Arabidopsis thaliana: one gene and its partners. The protein of the gene in region 1 interacts with the protein of each later gene in a pairwise test. Each region holds a gene or a part of one and is shown on either strand. Other genes may lie near its edges.

Region 1 (7,703 bases):
ATATTAATTTTTGCTGTTTTAAGAGTATTCGGAAATAAGTAAATTTGTAAATTTTTCACTTCTATACATTACGATTTAGAATCCACTGAAGACTAAACACCAGACGCACAAAAAAAAAGATTGAGCTACTTCGTCATTTAAAATGTACAGAGAAGAGGTTGAGTTATATAAGACACCGAGCGAGAGCAAATCCAACGCCGGTGGGAGTGATTGCGTCAGTCACTCATCATTACAACATTACATACAACAAACTATATATATATTCTTCTTGGTCTACGTCCAAATGTTTTGTCTAGAGAACTAAAATTTACCAAAAACAAAAGTGGGTGCTCGTTATTGGGACAAGGATATAGTACAGCCGAGTTCCCGAGCCGCAGTGTCGAGAAACTGAGTAGGCATAGTTGTGGAGAGCAAGCTGTGAGCTTCCCAGTTTAAACAGTTTTGGATATCGGCTTTCCAGTCTATTGAGGCGGCGTTGAAGAATCGATAGGACGGACTATTCATTCCGTTCTTCTCTGTTGTTGGCAGTTTTGGAGTTACTTTGATGGGTATGGAGCTTTGGTTCATGATATCACGTAGTACTGACGTGCTTAAGGCACGTACGTGTGCACTTGGGTGTGAAAGGCACCGTATTGTTGCTGGTAGACGACACTGCATAGAAGCAAAAAGATGTGAACAAGGTTAAGCACTTTGGTAACTGGACCTACTACTGATCATCTACAATCGACGCAGGAAACCATAGGCTCTGTTCGATTCTGCTTTTACCTTCAATAGATTGGATAAACCGTCGACCACTGCTAGTCCAGATGGCCCCCAAGCTAGCACCGGCTGTATTGCTCTTGCCGTGGCTTCAAGTAGCTGCAAAAGTTTAAAATACAGTGGAATCAGAAAATGATTATTACTCTAGCCCGAAGAAGGGCATTGAAGAGCAATCTATAACAGTGCAGTACCTCAAGTTGAGGTAATGTACAAGCTTCTCCATCAACAAGCATTCCATCAGTTGCCCGCAGAAGAAGATCTGATGCACTTGCGAGAATCACCAGTGACTCAGGCCTGTCATGATTGCGCATGAGTTCCACCAACACTTTGACTATCCGTTGGTTGATTTTCCACATTTTTTGGCCTTCTTCATCATCTTTGGCGATCCAAGGCTGCAACTCCCTTTCAGCCTGTAAATAACACAAGACCATTTCAGACAATAGAGCATTAGAGTAAATCCTTCAACATATGAGCTTGAAACAAGCCATTATTTTACACAGATTTTTTCTTCCTTATTTCCTATCCTTGGCATATTAAAACAAGTGTTGCATATAAATTCCAAGCTTAATTTTTATAAATTCATGAGAGATCAAATGAGTGAACCAAGCATTATAAAACATTAACACAGGCCATAGGTTTTCCGCAGTTTAATCTTTACACAGGTGTTGCATTCCTGACAAATGAAATAAAAAGTCAAAGAGTAATTTGGACCTGAAGGACAACTGCTGCTGCTGCTTTCGCTGGCGTTGCAGATACGACATTGCATAGCGCATCAACAACCTGATATATAAAAAATATGATCAGTGTATGAAGTCGAGCGACTTAATTGGATTAGTAAAGAACTACCAAGGAAACTGTAAGCGAGCTGGGAAATAGAAGTGCTGAGGTTTACCTGTCTCCATCCTTGTTGCGCAGAGGTGCTTTCTGCGGTGGGCTGGATTTCAGGAGCAGCAATCAGTTTGTGCCATAACAGTGAAACAACGGAGAAAGACAGCTCCGGTTTCTCTGCAAGCACTGACCTCAAAAGCTTTTGTGTACCACAATAGAACCCTGCGAGTCTATCAGCTGTGAGGAAATTCGCAAGATCAGAAGCATCCAAGAGGAAATCTTTGATACCCTTCTCTGAGGGTCTCCCTGAGCCTTCATCTGAATGTCTAGCATACTTATGGTTTCCTCTTGGATTCATTTCAGTCCTTGAGGCGGATGTCACCGCTGTATCAAAGCATGTGGTGCTTGCACATGTGTTCTCTTGTTTCCAGTTTAAACAGGTCACAGAATCCTTCTGAACCGGTGTATTCTTAAGGTAGGCTTCCAAGGGTTCAGCTTTGTCAACAATGGAGGCAACAACTTTGCTGTGAACATCTATGAGGTTATATAATGATGATGCTCTTTTATGAATTTCCTTATCCCACTTACATCTCATCAACCCAGACAATGCATGCGTCAAGGCCTTTGAACGTCTGAACAGTTCGGAAATATGAGCTGCAACCATGGCCGCAGCAACTATCTCACTAGAACTGTAACTCCATGGAGTCCCCACAGAAGATGGTTTTAATGAAAAGAGTGCCTCTAGGATTGCCAAAATTCGGCGCGTATGACTAATTGCCGAGTCAATCCCAGCTCCATACTCTTTAGATGACCCATTTATCTTTACAGGCTTTGTAATAGTTCCAGCCACGGCAGAATTGGAAAAGTTCCCCCCACCAGAGATCATAGGATACAGCTGAACCTCACAGGCAAGAGCACAAACAGCAGCAAGAACGTATGAATCAAATGCTGCCACAGGTCCCTGTCCCTTGACATTCCTACTTTTACGGTTAGCAGTTTGATTGTTAGATACAGGTTGATTCGCCTCAATATTTTCAGTAGTACTAGCATATTCACTTCTCGGTCTCTTGCTACCACTAGACTGTGCTTCATGGCTAACACATACAGTCAACACAACAAAAAGTAGGCGTGAAGCTAATTCCACACCAGCGCATGATTCTAAAAAGAGAGCATGGACCATAGCACGAAGCTCAGACATAGCAAGATTTTTGGTCGCTGATCTTGTGGTAAAACTCGATCTAGCTTTTCTGGTTAGTTCCCTGGAAGATTCAGGCGGAAAAGTTCTACTGAGTATTGTTTCCACAGTGGCAACAAATATTTTCATCAAGCATGCTTCCGAAGGACTCCCCCGTGGAAGATATTCAAGTACTTTGAGGAGTGGAATGTATAAATTCCATGACAAGATAGGAGGTTGCAGTGGGGTAGCAACTATGATTTCGGGAAGATCAACCGCCGAAGAATTTAAAGGGATCAAACCATAAGCAGCTTCCCATATAGTGCAAATTCTCCACTCAACTTCAGGACCATGAGCACAAAGCATTGAGGCAATTCCTTGGGCAGTGGCTTCAATGGTTGCTTCTGCTGCAGGAACTTCTATCTGTTGAGATGAAATGAGTCAGTTTCAATATAATTTTCTAGTAGAATGCCAATCGCATATCAGAGATGGAATAGCAGAAAAATATAAAGAGGAACCATGCCTGTTTTCTGTAATTTGAACTGTAGCCACCAATAGGCGCGTGCTGAATTTCTACTCCCTCAACTTGACTTAGCGGAGGAAAAAGCAGTGCCGGCTGTGAGAGTATGCGGAAAAGCAAAGCGGCTGCAGCATCAGCAGCAACACCTGCCCTCATAGACATAGCAATTCCTATAGCCCGCAAGAAGTGCAAATGCATCCAGTTCCTGGGTAGCTGCACCAAGAAAAAGAATGTGATCAAAGCTGATTTCTTTGATGACATACCAAAGCTGACTTTTTTTATAACAAGGGACACAATTAGCTTTCTGGAGGGTAATTAAGAGATTCATATTACGCTTACCCTTACACCAGATGCATAATCTTCAGCAGCTCGAAGGAGTTCCACAAGCTGTACAGCAGCATCAAGTGCATCTGGAGCCCACGACGGTGGTGCTTCTAAGAGTCCAAGAAGAAGTCTCTGCGTAGCACTTGGAGTTGCAATGGCATAGTATCTGACAGTATAACAGGAAAGTGAGAAAACAATTCTGATCTAGGGATTCGAGGAAGCACAACCTTAAAACTAGCAACAGACTACTACCAATAAACCCTAATTGAAAGGGTAAGCCCAGAAACAATACCTATGAAACAAACGTGCATATGGTTCAAGAGCTGGAAGGCCAGCAACTAGATGCTCATCTAAGGATGTCGTTGGCGGAGGAAGAAGAAGTGCAGGGACAGCGACCGCTGTCAGCGTAGCAGTCTCATATCGAGCAACTTCATCATCACAAACACTCAGTATGACACCAGCTCCATTAGCAACAGCCCATCTTGGGGTTGAAGGCATCAGTTGAGGATGTTTACCAGATCCTCGAGAAGCTGCCAAAGTAGGACAACATGAAAGTTATAGGAAGCAACTCAAAACACATTCTATAGCCACAGGTGATGGATACACATTTATGAACGAAGTGATAGAACAACTCTATTGATCAGAATTATCATCAAAATCCAGTTCCAGGGGATATTAACATGGAATTCTTGAACTCACCAATGGTTGGCGGCTTGAGCTCTCCAGCAGCATATTTACCCATTACACCACTACACCTGTAAATAATAAGCAACATTTTTAGTTGTCAGTAAGCTTAATCCACTACAGAACCTCAATACATAGACCTCAGCAGAGAGACCAAAATAAAAGAAGGAGGCCGGCGCATGAACACATAGAAGCATCAGTAACAGAGTCTACTTACCATCGGAAATAGTCACTTCTTATACCAAGAGGAGCAGCAAGTAGTATATCACTGATCCATGGAGACAAAGGCCTTAAAGGTTTCCTTTCATGCTGTGTTGGTGATCCAGCCTTAGGCTCTGAAGTCGGAGAACCACTAGTTGTAGCTTTGCTCAGACAATTTCTCTCTGTATCTCCATTTTGCTGCTCAGTTTTATAAATGGGACGGTTGTAATGAGTCAAAATGCGAAGGATTTCTCCACATGCCAAAGCCCATTGCTCCGAATAGTCATTCTGTTAGGATAGTGAACATGTTAGCACAAAATGGTATAGGTTACACCAAATCAGTAAGCATGATACTAGACAGCTATTATATACCTCACTACTTGGGCAAACTAAAGATATGAAAGAGGCAAACGGATGAGCTTCCTTGCTGTACACCAACGAGCCATCAATAAGACATGAAATGATTGGAAGAATGACTGCATGACCATGCTCCGGATGATGAAGGACAAACATCGCTGTTTCATCAGAAAACGAAAATCAGATAGACATTCACACACAAAAAGAGAAGTGTGGATCATAAATGTTGATCATACCCAGCACATCGTCTAAAAGTCGCTTCTCAGTTGATGGATACTGATGCCGGACCAACTGATACAGATAAATTATACATGAATCAAAACGTCACTACTAAGAGAATACTCTTATTAAACTCATTAGGTATCAAGTACCTCAGCAATGTCATCTGGGAATTGCTCTGATGTAAATTGACCAAAATATTCAACATAAGCAACGACTTGATCCTTATGTTGTTGAGGATCTCGTGGCGGAGGCCATAACAAGGAAGAGAACTGAAGACCATCGATCCATCTCTCAGATGAAGATGAACTAGCCATCCAGGAACCGAAACTAAACCCCAACTAGATGAACGAACAATCTAACTAACACCTTTCTTCTACTATCAATCGAGAATCAATACGACGTAGTGTTAACATTCGCCAGCAAGAACAATCACTATACACATCTCCCAGATTCTTTTAAATCCTTTTTATACTAATCAACACACTGTACACTAAATCGAAGCTGAATCAAACAGCTAAACCCTGTAACAACAATTCAGAAGAACAAAATCTCAATCAGATAAGATGTCAAATCAAACAACAAATCTAAGCTGAGAAAACAAAAAATGCTAGTAGAAACAGTGATTTACCAAGAACTTATTTAAAAAAAAAAGACATCAAATGATTCGGGAAAAAATCTCATCTGAGAATCAATCAACCAAAAACCACGAAAAAGGTAGTAGAAGAAAGACCTGAAAGTAAATATGTCTTCCTATGAGTTTGTTGGTTGGTTATCTCTACTCTTGCTTTTTTTTGGCTTTGAGGATATTTTTGAGAGATCGACGAATATCGGAGAAAAAAAGAATACATACACAGAAGAAGAGATTGTGGTGGCCTTAGGAGAGAGAGAGAGAAAAAAGAGATTTGGAGGCTTCTCCACTCGGTTTAAGATTTCCCGTCTGCTTACGTGTCATCGATATTTCCTTGCCTTTGCCACCACCTTTATGCGCCATTACCATATAACCATCATCATCCCACATACATCTCCACCCATACCATGGTTAAAAAATTTACCATATTTTTGTTACATTTTTTAAGCATATATATATGAAATTTTATTTTAAAAAATTTTACTGGTAGTTTATGTTAGTGTTGTTTTGGAATCACAATGCGAATTCAAATTCGTATATTGTATGTTACAATCACCAAGAAAAATGTTTGCCAATTTAAGTAATTAATTTTAATCCTAATAAATAAATTTTGTAAACTCAGATTTACTCCAAAATTCTGTCTATTTTTAACCATGAGCTAAGTTTAAAATCTACTTAAACATATAATTATATCAATAATATTTGGCTGTTTTAAAATAAACCATTACATTCACAGTATGGCATATATTGGTAAAGAATTTGTACAAGTAATCAGAGAGATTATTTTATTTCAAGGTTTGGTGGTCATGATTGTATTATTGAGTTATTAATTTAAGTATATAACATCTCTCATGTGATTGCCTAATTAATTAATAGTTTCATTACACAAAAAAAAAGCTAGTGACATATGTCCACAGATATTTTGAGGGGAGCTAAGTTCAGATGCTACGAGATGTTACGTACACCTTCGAATTATCCACCGTTGATTCAAGCCCACTCAACAAATTCCTTTAAGAGATTTCGGGCAGCTAGCCCAGAATAGTTTCGAGCCGTTCGATGGTTGTAGATAAACGGGCAGCTTTTGAGGAACAGCCCGTTGAGAAAATATCTAAATGGGCCTCACACATCTTTTAAGATATTTTAAAATCTTACCACTTGTCTCTACTGTACCACATAAACAAGTAGCACAATAAAATGATGACGTGTACCAATCAGAGTGGAGCAAGAGATCTGTGGACGTTGATCACTCGCCAAATAAGAGACGTGGCGCAATAAGATGTGAGCAATATATTGTAATGATCTCCATACGATTCGTGATTGTGTGGTCCACTTCTGTCTGGATGGCTCTTGTCTGAAGAATACTCCATGGTAACATAACTGGGCTTTGGTCATGTACCATGTGATGTGATGGGCTCAAACCTTACGTGGAGTTATGTAACTGGGCTAAATTGTAATTTTAATTTTTCAGTAATTGCTTGTAATACAAATATATTTTTTGATATCAAATTGTAATTTTGAGGAGAACTTACTATTATTAATGAAGATGATAAAATGTTACATTAATGTATCATTCTAATCATAGTAAATATATTAAGAATTACCTCAATTTTTTGGTTTATGATTTACCAATTAGGGAAAACATTAATTTTAATAAAAGCTACTTTGCCTACCTCTTTTTTTTTTGTTAATATATCATTTTAATAACAAGCTTTTATTAAAGTAATATTATGGTGGAGAAATTTTTATAAAATTCTAAAACTTTTTGAAAAGGCGTATTCTCAAATTGTAGGCATTTCAGTTGATATATTATAAGTTTAAGTTATAGTCCAACGAATTATTTCTTTTGTGGTTTAGCAAACGAGATGTTCATCATTACCCATTTCATTGTCAACAAAACCTTTAGAAAATGATATTAGTTATCTTCAAGTATGACTATTATAAATTTATACAGTACAATATACTTTTTTCACAGAAGGACCGTGACATCAATCAATTTAGTATAAGAA
Region 2 (5,836 bases), on another chromosome or scaffold:
CCCCACAATATGGTGACTCGGCTCGCTGGTCTTTGACCCTTCTTGAATCATCATTAGTCTTCTTAGAATTAATTTGCTGGTGAATAATTAACCCTAGGCCTTGTGCTTGATTGAGACTCCAATTGGGCAAGAGTCCTCCAAAATGCTCTTCATCAATCGGTTTGATAAATGTACCGGCTGATTTGGTATGGTCCCGGTTTGGTTTAATTTGGATGTCCGCATCAGATGACGAGTGGGTGCAAAGGGAGAATCTTTAACTTAATCTTTCGACAATAGTTTTTTTTTTTCTGGTAGTGATTCCATGACCTATGTATTATGATGTAATGCTTTCGCATAAGTCATAATATATGCCTGAAACCGTGTTCGAAGCAAAGATGGTTTTGAGACTTATCAACTATCGATGTTTTACATTTTGTGGATTTTGTTTTAGCTTGTGGAAAGGCATGTAAGAATCCATTAGATCAATTTGGGTTTTGTCTTTCAAAACCATACATTTCATGCCATATAAAATAAAAAAATGGAGCAACACCTTTTCAGAATAGCATTTTCCTTTCACACATTATTAAATAAAAACATTAGTGAGAAAACAAAAAAACAAAATACACCGAAAAAAAGAGAAAATAAAATGAAGGGATATTTCTGACTAGGAAGTCTCAAACTCCCCGAACGACATAAGACATTACAAAAGGCGTGAAAACAAAGAAAGCTATAAGTAGCAAACTGATGTAGGGGAATTCAAAACATGAGTTGTAACAAGAAAGCAACGAGAGGTTGTTATTATGTGGCTAAAGCTTTTGGATGTCTTATGGACCGAGACGATAAGGTCCATCACCCATGTAATGACCATCCATGTACAGAGCTGCGTGGTGCGGGTGCTGCAGACCATCCATCACCATGAACTGCATGTCTTCAGATGGTTTCCAGTGACGCTTTCTTTGGTTTATGAACCAATTGTTGATTTGTTTCTGATCTAACCCCGTTGATTCCGCCAACGCTACCTTCTCTGACTCCTGCCACACAACTCAAACCAACCATCTTCATTTATGTAGTAATCAATGTATAAAAAGCAATGCTAGAGATAATCGAAAATTATTTTTAAATGATTCTAGACATAAAAATGGAAAATGACCTAAAGTTTGTTGTTTTGAACGATTCTCTAAGTAAAATGACTAACTTCATTTTTCTTTGACATCAAGTAACGACTAACTATATGTTGTCTTATTATCTTTTTAACAACATGTCATTTATATTTACCAATATTAAACATGTTTTTTTCACTATCATTACAGTCGGTTAGATTAGTTATTTCATTTCAAACTAATTAAAACTACAAAAAAAATTAAATTGTTTCAAAATATATGGATAAAAATTTCATCACAAACTTACATTTTTTAAAAAAAAGTGATTGATATACGTGTTAGAAAATAGTATGTTAAGGGTTAGAACACCATGACTAAGATATGTATCCTAGTGACTAATTCTAGTGTTGTGAGCATTCGGATTTAAAACCATGTTGTTGGAAACCGTACAAGGATTTAAACACAAAATCGGTCATGCAAGTACCTACTTGGCCTAACATAGCGGCTTCAGAGGGAATTGCTAGCTTAAAGATAGGTTTTTAAAACACTTAATTTGTAGTATATATTTTAAAAAATATGAGGGCAAAGAGAGATGAGAGAAAATTTATACGTACAGAAGGATATGGCCACTTGTAATGCAACTCCCACCACGTGAGAAGCTTCTGCCGTGCTTCTTTAGGAAGTTTACCTTTCTTTTTCTTCTTGGATAGTTCTTGCTTCAAACTGCTTAAGTATCCACTATACTTCTTCAGCAAATGGTTCTTGAGTTCCCGATCTTCGGCCCTCGGGTCTATTTCCGGTAATTCTGTTTCCCCTCCGCTGTTATTCTCTTGTTCTTCGTCTGATGATCCCATATTGTCACTCTTCCCATCTGCTTCAACATAATATATTTCATGAAGTTAAATGGTTTAGTCATTTAACAACATTCTAGTCATCTACCTTTATGATTAGACTAATTAATCCGAGTAGAGATTTTGATGTTTTAGCATAACGAAATCGAAGAAGATAATGTCCCAAATAAATCTTCACGAGCAGCACCAAAAGTTCTTGTGATAGTACTTTTGGGCCGAGTGAAAAGAAAAAAAACAAAAATAAGCCCCACCCATCTTTGGATGGATTCCACAATGGGGAAAACAAGAACAAATATGCACACCTATTTGTATCTTACATACTTTCCAACAATAATGCATCTCAATTATCTTAATTATCTTATAATCTTAATTAACATTTGAAAATGTATGTAGACTATGATTTTTTTTTTTTTTAATATCTCAATGTTACAACAATTTACCATGAACCAAAGAAACATGCCAATTTATGCAATCCATCATTAGCCCTACCTTGCCACTACACTTTGTTTTCTCCAGCCATTTCTTACATGTGCATATATGTATGTATATGAGATTGATGACATGTACCAGGATTGTTGAGGATGTGAATGGGACTCTGACACAACATGCTAAGCTGAGATTCAATACGACGTATAAACTCCATTGCTTCCTGAATGGGCCTTGTTAGCTCCTCACGATATTTAACCAACATGTCACAGTATGCTTCCTATTCATACCAAAAAATAAAAAAGGAAAATCAAGACTTCTAACACATATACACACAAAGAACCGACCCATTTAATTAAAATTCAACTTTGGTTAGTAATGAACCATGAATTGATCTAACTCCGGGTCTCTAGAGGAGGCAGAGACAGACGGTGTTGACCGCTGTTGTCGAGCCTCAAAGTCTTGCCGTGCCGCCGTAATTCTATCAACCACATCAGGTGGAGCTCCAATCTATATAAACCATGACCCATGAACATACATATATATGTCACACATAACTATATATTATATCTTTAAAAAAAGAGTATATATTATAACATAACAATAAGAATAAAACCAAACCTTTTGGCAGTCCAAGTAAGCTTGTAGGAGGGTAGAGTAGTGAGGATGAGCAATGATTTTAGCCTTCATGGCTTCAACATCGCTTACGTTGTCATTGTTGTTGTTGTTAGCTTCTTGAGTATTGTGGATGGCTCTCATTAACATGGAGTAATGATTGATTCTTGAGGAGCTAGCTTCAGATTTAACAGATGGGTTGTTGTTGTTGTTGGGTTGATCATGATCAGATCGGAAGCAATTCTCGGTTGTTTGAGGGAGAAGAGAGCTCATATGTGGAAACAACATGTGTTGGTGGTGATGATTGTTGTTGTTAGTATTATTGTAACCAGGACCATAATTGCTACTATTATTATTGTTGTTGTTGTTGTTGGTATCACTTGTGTTATCGTTTTTGTTGGAAGAAGAGATTGGAGAGTACAAGAAACTTACTCTTTGAGGAGTGGTGCTGTTGTCATGCTGGTATTCTTCCATACCCAGATGAGTAAAGATTTGAGAGAGAGAGAGAATATAAAAATCAAAGAAAAAAAATAAATTAAAAAAAAATAAAACCCTAGAAAAATAAAAAAGGATGGGTGTAAGATGAAGAGGATGTATGTATTCTTGCTTTTGTTCTTATTTCAATCAAAGGTCTCTGTAAGACTATAACCACATCAAATCCAGACGACTAGACGACTCATCTATGAAATCAAAAAGGCCTAACTCAAATTAATATAAAAAAAGAGAGAAAATTTTGTGAGGTGAAGTTGCACCCAAAGAAAAACCAAATAAATTGAAAAAGATATATTTGAGGAAGAAAAAACGAACTAGGTATATAGAATTCGTCAAGGAAGTGACATGGAAGAGAAGAAAATAAAAAAAAAAAAAAGAGAAAGAGAGAAGAAGAGAGAAAGAGAGAGAGAGAGAGATTAACAATAATGAAGAAGTTGGGTGGCTTGAGTGGATTGACAAGACGTCGTTTGCTTTGGGAGCAAAAAGAAATATTTGAAAATTAAAATAAAGGTAAGAGAGAAGGGACAAGAGATAAGGCAAAGGCTTCTCTCTTCTGTTTTCCTCTCATAGGCTATTTTATACATTAGAACAAGACTAAGTAATTTACTTAATTAAAATGTGGTTTATAATATTCGAATTAAGATGAACCACTCAGTGTTTAAGCAACTAGGTCTTCGCGGCTACTTCAGGCTATGGTTTCTTGCTAGGTTGAATGATATATTTTGTACTATTTTCTAGTAATGAAATGTTTTTTTTTCTTAAAAGAATAGTCAAGAAAAAAGTTTTAAAAAAAATATGTATGATTTATATATACTTCTAATACGATATAAACCCAAGAATTTGTAGTCTAGTGGTTGAACATAGAGTTCGTTCAACAAATTGTGATCATGTGTCACATTATAATTCTATACTTAGGAGAGGGGACTACGTTTATCTTGTTCTGGTCCTCGGTTTCACTGTACGGGTTTCTGCCTAAAACTTACGGATAACAAAAAAAGAATTATAAACAATATGATAGAAATGTACATATTTGATGCAAGACTTGGATGTTTTTGGAGTTTAATCAAATCGATGAAATTATAATTTTAGTTTTCGTAATTTCGTATGTATATTAGTGGAGAGATCACACTATCCGAATATTTGTTATCGGATAGAAGATTACATTAGAAACCGAGAAAAAAAAAAGGAATTATAAAAATGCTTTACAGGATAGTGGATATTATACGATATTCTGCTAATTTCCAACTATTGGCTCTATGATAAGACCATGCTGCAAACACACTTCTTTCAACACTTGTTCTGTTCCACGGTCAACATTCAATTTTCTATTTAATCTCGATTTATATTTCATGATTCATGAGACGTATAGAGTGCCTATGAATTCATTTTTATACAAAAAGAAACGAAAATCCTAGGGTTTTATTTATATATAAATCGTCAAATCCTAGGGCTCTAGATCAAAAAGTTGGCTCATCGATAGATTTTTTTTTTTGTTTACCTCATCACTGCACTAGACCGAAACTTACATTGTGACTTGTGAGAGTTTGTAAACAACAAAATGTAAGATTTCTTACAAATTATGACTTGCTATGCCGGAAATTTTGATAGTAAATATTTAAATATATATGTATACATATATTATTTCTTACTATTAAAAAAATAAAATCAGCTGCTTAGAACCAATATTATTAGAATTTCATTAAAAAAAATCGAAAATGTTAAAGGTTAAATTTTTGCATTCGAAATGTTTTCTTTTCCTTTAAGACCTCCTCTTATTTTCTGTTTCAGTATAAGATGCTGAAACATTGACATCATAAAAGATCATTCATTAAGGGTACATCTTTGAATTAAATATCATAATATTCCAAAACACAAGTGCAATAGACTAAAAACACACTATAAATAAGTCTCTGATCCCAATATTCTCATTAATATGGTCATGCAAGAAGAATATATATATATATATATATATATATATATATAAATAAAAATATTATAATACCCATAACCATATGGATCTAATTTCTTATAATTTTCTATTAAAAAAAAAATTGTTTTCAAAAGTGTGTACAATTTCATAGAATTCTATCTTTTAGATTAGAAAGTCAATTATAACAATAAAATAAAACATTCAATTTATTATATAAAAATTCACCGGTAGGCATAGATTGTTCTCTAAATTTATTAATAAACTCATTTACTCATAACTATGTAACGACTTGTATGAGGTTATCTAAACCTGCAATAAAACACTCAAGAGATACACTAATTAAACTAATCTCTAAATACAACATAGCTACTTATCAATCATTTTCAATCAATGGTCAAATGTTAAGAAAATAAAAGGAGATGATAAGCTAATCAAATCTAGAA
Region 3 (4,241 bases), on another chromosome or scaffold:
TAGGGAAGACGATACTGCAGACGATTTCAGCTTCAGGAAGTGTGTTGATCAAATCCTCCCATTGCCTGAAAACATGAAGACTCCTGGAGCTAACGGCAATGGACATGGTGGAGGTCGCGGTGGCGGTGGTGGAAGAAGAGGCGGTCGTGGTGGTGGTAGAGGAGGGAGATTCAGAAGATGAATATGCTGACACTTGATGCCTTATTTCAAAAGAAAATTTTGAAAATTTCAGATTTAGTTCTTTTGCCAAAAACTTTAAAAGTTATGATCTTGTCTAATGCAACTGCTTTTTGTTGGAGAAAAATTGTCAGTTTATATAACCCATTATTGCTGAAGAAGAAGAATATTGTCCCTACTATCTTGACAACATCAGAAAAAAACACAGACGCGTCAATAGAACTAAAAATCTGGTTGATCTAGTTTTTAAAAACCAATAATTCAAAAACGAAAAACTCAAATCAAAATCTAGATGAAAAAAAAACACTTTCCATTGATAGTGTAGTGTTGATCTGGTTGCTAAATGATAATGTTAAATAAAAAGAATTGGGGAAGTTATGAAAAACCGACATTTTGACTTTGGTAACTTACTGTGTGTGACATGTTCACCGTTTACGACCCTTCTAAGAGAAAGACAATGCCCTCAAACTAAAGCTGTCTTAAATCTTAACCCTGCTAAAAAATGATTACATGAAGTGATAACACTGGTTGGCACACGTCTTGGAATAATGGATTATTTTGAAACACATTATGAATTATAAAGAAACATTATCCGATATTCGGTATTCGGATTAATATTCCAAATTGTCTTCTTACACAATATACAAATAGACACATACACAAATTGTCTTTTGAAGATGCAACAAATTTTGTTTTGTTAAGCCTTCTTAGATTTAGGAAGCTTCTTAACTACGATCTTACTGCAACACAATCAGTTTGTGAAATCTATGATCTGACCAAGATGCAGGTGAGTAAGGGACCTACAGTAGAAGTTGACATGGAAAAAAGGCAGAGTTTGGTAAATCATAAAATGTGGCAGAGACCTTTTTGGTAATAGCCAATGAGAGAGCACCTCATATCTATTACCTTCTTCTGCAGTCTTCTTATCTTAACGTACAACCGTTCACTTAATGAAATTCGTCAATGGATGTTATATGGTTGTGAAGTTTTTTTTTTGTTTTTTTTTTTATAATTGATTTTCTATTAATGGTTGTGATTAATCTTTGTGTATAAAAGAAGGGTATATGTTTCTCCAAACCAAAAAGTGTAGATCGTTTTCAAATGAAGGATTTTTATCCTTCTACCAACCAATTAAGAAATTGCACGTAACAAGACAGCTCTCGTGTGAGCTGCACCAAAGCCATCCCCGCGATGCTGACATTTACCTACCCAAAAGTTTCTAAACAGTTTACATAATTGTTTTTTTTTCTTCAATTCAACAATAGATAGATAATTGTTAAGATATGTTAGAAATCTTATATCAGTATTATATATAACGAAGCGTGTTTATAAAAACACTTTTTCTGAAAACTTTATTGCATCCTCGTAGGAGCACTTCGTTTTTTATCGTTCAAACTTGTTATGCATTTGTTCCATGTATATAACTACATAAGACCTTTTTGATCTGTTTGGTTAACGGAAAGTTTAGTGAAAATCTAAAACATATAAAAAAATCGATTCTTCGAATAGTTTTGACAAAGTTTAAAGAAAATAACAAAAGATTATATGCTATGGGTTTTAATGGGGTTTGGGAGAAAAGTAAAATATCAGAGGCCACATAAACTTGTGGTCTAGAATCAAACCAAAATGCTGACCTGGCATCCACTTCACTTTTTAAAACGTATCAAAATCCCAAATCTCACGATTTCCAAACCAAAAATTTCCAAACTACCCAAACCCCCCACAAAACATCTTCGAAGAGAAACAAAAAAAAACACCCTGAAAAGAAAGGAAAAGAGACACAGAGAGTCAGAAACTTACGAGTAAAAAAGAGCACATCTTAGGAAAACGATAATAATGCTGGAAACTAAAGATCCTGCGATAAAGCTCTTTGGTATGAAAATTCCTTTCCCGACGGTTTTAGAGGTTGCTGATGAAGAAGAAGAAAAGGTACTCATTATTATGTCTACTTTTTTGTTTCTGAAAGGGCTGAGTATGTTTTGTTATATACAAGTATAGAGAAAATGAGTTTTGGTGTTTTGAAAAGGGTATTTGAGTTTTTGTTCATTTTCCCATCAAAGGCAACTGTTTTCTTTTTTTGGTATCGTTTTATATTCATAGTTGATGAATTGGTAAACTTTTTGGAGAATTCCTAAGAAAATACACTTAAACCATCTGTTTAATTAAAACTCTAGTTCTCTGTTGGTGAACCAGAGGTTGCAATTTGGTTTGATGACTTTTCATGAAACGAAAAAGCATATTCGTTTCTCCATAAAGTAATCATATTTTTTAGTGAAAAAGGTTGCTTTATAGTATACACACTGAAACCAATAAAGGTGAGCGAATTTAGACTTCTAACTAAAGCGTGTTCTTTAAAAGACTTTTTCCTCCACCAAAATTTCATCTAGAACCTTCTTCTTGAGAATCATACTCATTATAATACAAAGTTTTAAATTCATTTCTGTTTAACATGCTTCAAAAATGTTATTCTTTCTTTATTCATCATCCGTCCCTAATAATCCGATTTCATTGTCTTGCATCAGAACCAAAACAAGACATTAACTGATCAATCGGAGAAAGACAAAACCCTAAAGAAACCAACCAAGATTCTTCCATGTCCAAGATGCAACAGCATGGAGACTAAGTTCTGTTACTACAACAACTACAACGTAAACCAACCTCGCCATTTTTGTAAAGCTTGTCAGAGATATTGGACCTCAGGTGGGACCATGAGAAGTGTTCCAATCGGAGCAGGACGGCGCAAGAACAAGAACAACTCACCAACTTCACATTACCACCATGTGACTATCTCCGAAACAAATGGTCCGGTCCTTAGTTTCAGCCTCGGAGATGATCAAAAGGTCTCGAGTAATAGGTTTGGTAATCAAAAGCTAGTTGCTAGGATAGAGAACAATGACGAGCGCTCTAATAACAACACTTCGAACGGTTTGAATTGTTTTCCGGGAGTTTCGTGGCCGTACACGTGGAATCCTGCGTTTTACCCGGTTTACCCTTATTGGAGCATGCCAGTGTTGTCTTCTCCGGTAAGTTCAAGTCCTACTTCTACTCTTGGTAAGCATTCGAGAGACGAAGACGAGACGGTGAAGCAAAAACAGAGGAATGGATCTGTATTGGTTCCAAAGACTTTGAGAATTGATGATCCTAATGAAGCTGCAAAGAGTTCGATATGGACAACACTTGGGATCAAGAACGAAGTTATGTTCAATGGGTTTGGTTCGAAGAAAGAGGTTAAGCTCAGTAACAAAGAAGAAACAGAGACCTCACTTGTTCTTTGTGCAAACCCTGCTGCGTTATCAAGATCAATCAATTTCCATGAGCAGATGTGATTGTATACATATGATATATACGTGTATGTATGTATAGATGTGGTGGAAGATTAAGTTAGATCCATCAAAATCTGACTTTTTTGTTCTTTCGTTGTGGCTTACATGAAGCTTTATAATAGCTTTTGTACCATATACTTTTTAGTCTTTTAAGTTTGATTTTTGTTGTAAGATTAAATACGATGAAATAAAAGTTCTTTTTGACCGTTATCTTGCATTCAAATTAAATACGCTGTTAAAAGCTAACAGTAAAAATATAAAAAAACTGTTGTGAGATTTGAGATAGACATCTGATTTACTTTAAACACGAGTGGATAAGTAAAGTAAGATAAGATAATGTAAAAAGATTTCTTGAATTTGACCTCTTTTGTGCGATAACTAACAGTTGTGTCATGTGTGCTGGTGCGGGTGGGCACGATAAAACAGCACAAAACATAATAATGTTGAATATGGAAAACAAAGCAAACAGCAACAAATAAAATAAACTATAATGAAATTAGATTTAATCAAGTTTTGCAGAGTTTTTAAATTATCGTTAGTTAATCTATTTACTTTTATTTTGACTTTCTTTGCAACTTAGCCCCTTTTAATGGAGTGTTGTATTTTAGATCATTTTCGTGTAATGTTTTTTTGGTAAAGTACATAGTATTTTTGGATAATAAATATCCTAGATTGATTAAAAAATTTAGTTCTTGGATAATTTGTTGACCAACCGTATCAAACGAATGTACTTTAACGAAT

What was found. The genes of interacting proteins can lie anywhere in the genome.
Region 2: the proteins of GI (region 1) and KNAT1 interact in binary tests that used the Arabidopsis thaliana proteins (3 or more experiments, as listed by UniProt).
Region 3: the proteins of GI (region 1) and CDF1 interact in binary tests that used the Arabidopsis thaliana proteins (3 or more experiments, as listed by UniProt).

What each region holds. Positions count from the first base shown.
Region 1 is NC_003070.9:8,060,078-8,067,780, reverse strand, and holds the start of GI (gigantea protein (GI)), read right to left. Parts: upstream 6,031-7,703; 5' UTR 5,800-6,030; intron 5,591-5,799; 5' UTR 5,384-5,590; coding exon 5,219-5,383; intron 5,139-5,218; coding exon 5,084-5,138; intron 5,006-5,083; coding exon 4,863-5,005; intron 4,779-4,862; coding exon 4,507-4,778; intron 4,361-4,506; coding exon 4,305-4,360; intron 4,136-4,304; coding exon 3,898-4,135; intron 3,772-3,897; coding exon 3,621-3,771; intron 3,495-3,620; coding exon 3,285-3,494; intron 3,185-3,284; coding exon 1,652-3,184; intron 1,540-1,651; coding exon 1,471-1,539; intron 1,170-1,470; coding exon 951-1,169; intron 859-950; coding exon 766-858; intron 652-765; coding exon 334-651; 3' UTR 1-333. UniProt on the Arabidopsis thaliana protein: Involved in regulation of circadian rhythm and photoperiodic flowering. May play a role in maintenance of circadian amplitude and period length. Is involved in phytochrome B signaling. Stabilizes ADO3 and the circadian photoreceptor ADO1/ZTL.
Region 2 is NC_003075.7:5,147,166-5,153,001, forward strand, and holds KNAT1 (homeobox knotted-like protein), read right to left. Parts: upstream 3,995-5,836; 5' UTR 3,446-3,994; coding exon 2,978-3,445; intron 2,867-2,977; coding exon 2,741-2,866; intron 2,637-2,740; coding exon 2,498-2,636; intron 1,951-2,497; coding exon 1,694-1,950; intron 1,011-1,693; coding exon 804-1,010; 3' UTR 534-803; downstream 1-533. UniProt on the Arabidopsis thaliana protein: May play a role in meristem function, and may be involved in maintaining cells in an undifferentiated, meristematic state, and its expression disappears at the same time the shoot apex undergoes the transition from vegetative to reproductive development.
Region 3 is NC_003076.8:25,068,560-25,072,800, reverse strand, and holds CDF1 (cycling DOF factor 1), read left to right. Parts: upstream 1-1,689; 5' UTR 1,690-2,013; coding exon 2,014-2,106; intron 2,107-2,699; coding exon 2,700-3,503; 3' UTR 3,504-3,708; downstream 3,709-4,241. Other genes in the region: AT5G62440 (EMB514 (DUF3223)), read left to right, coding at 1-181. UniProt on the Arabidopsis thaliana protein: Transcription factor that binds specifically to a 5'-AA[AG]G-3' consensus core sequence. A flanking TGT sequence contributes to the specificity of binding. Regulates a photoperiodic flowering response. Transcriptional repressor of 'CONSTANS' expression.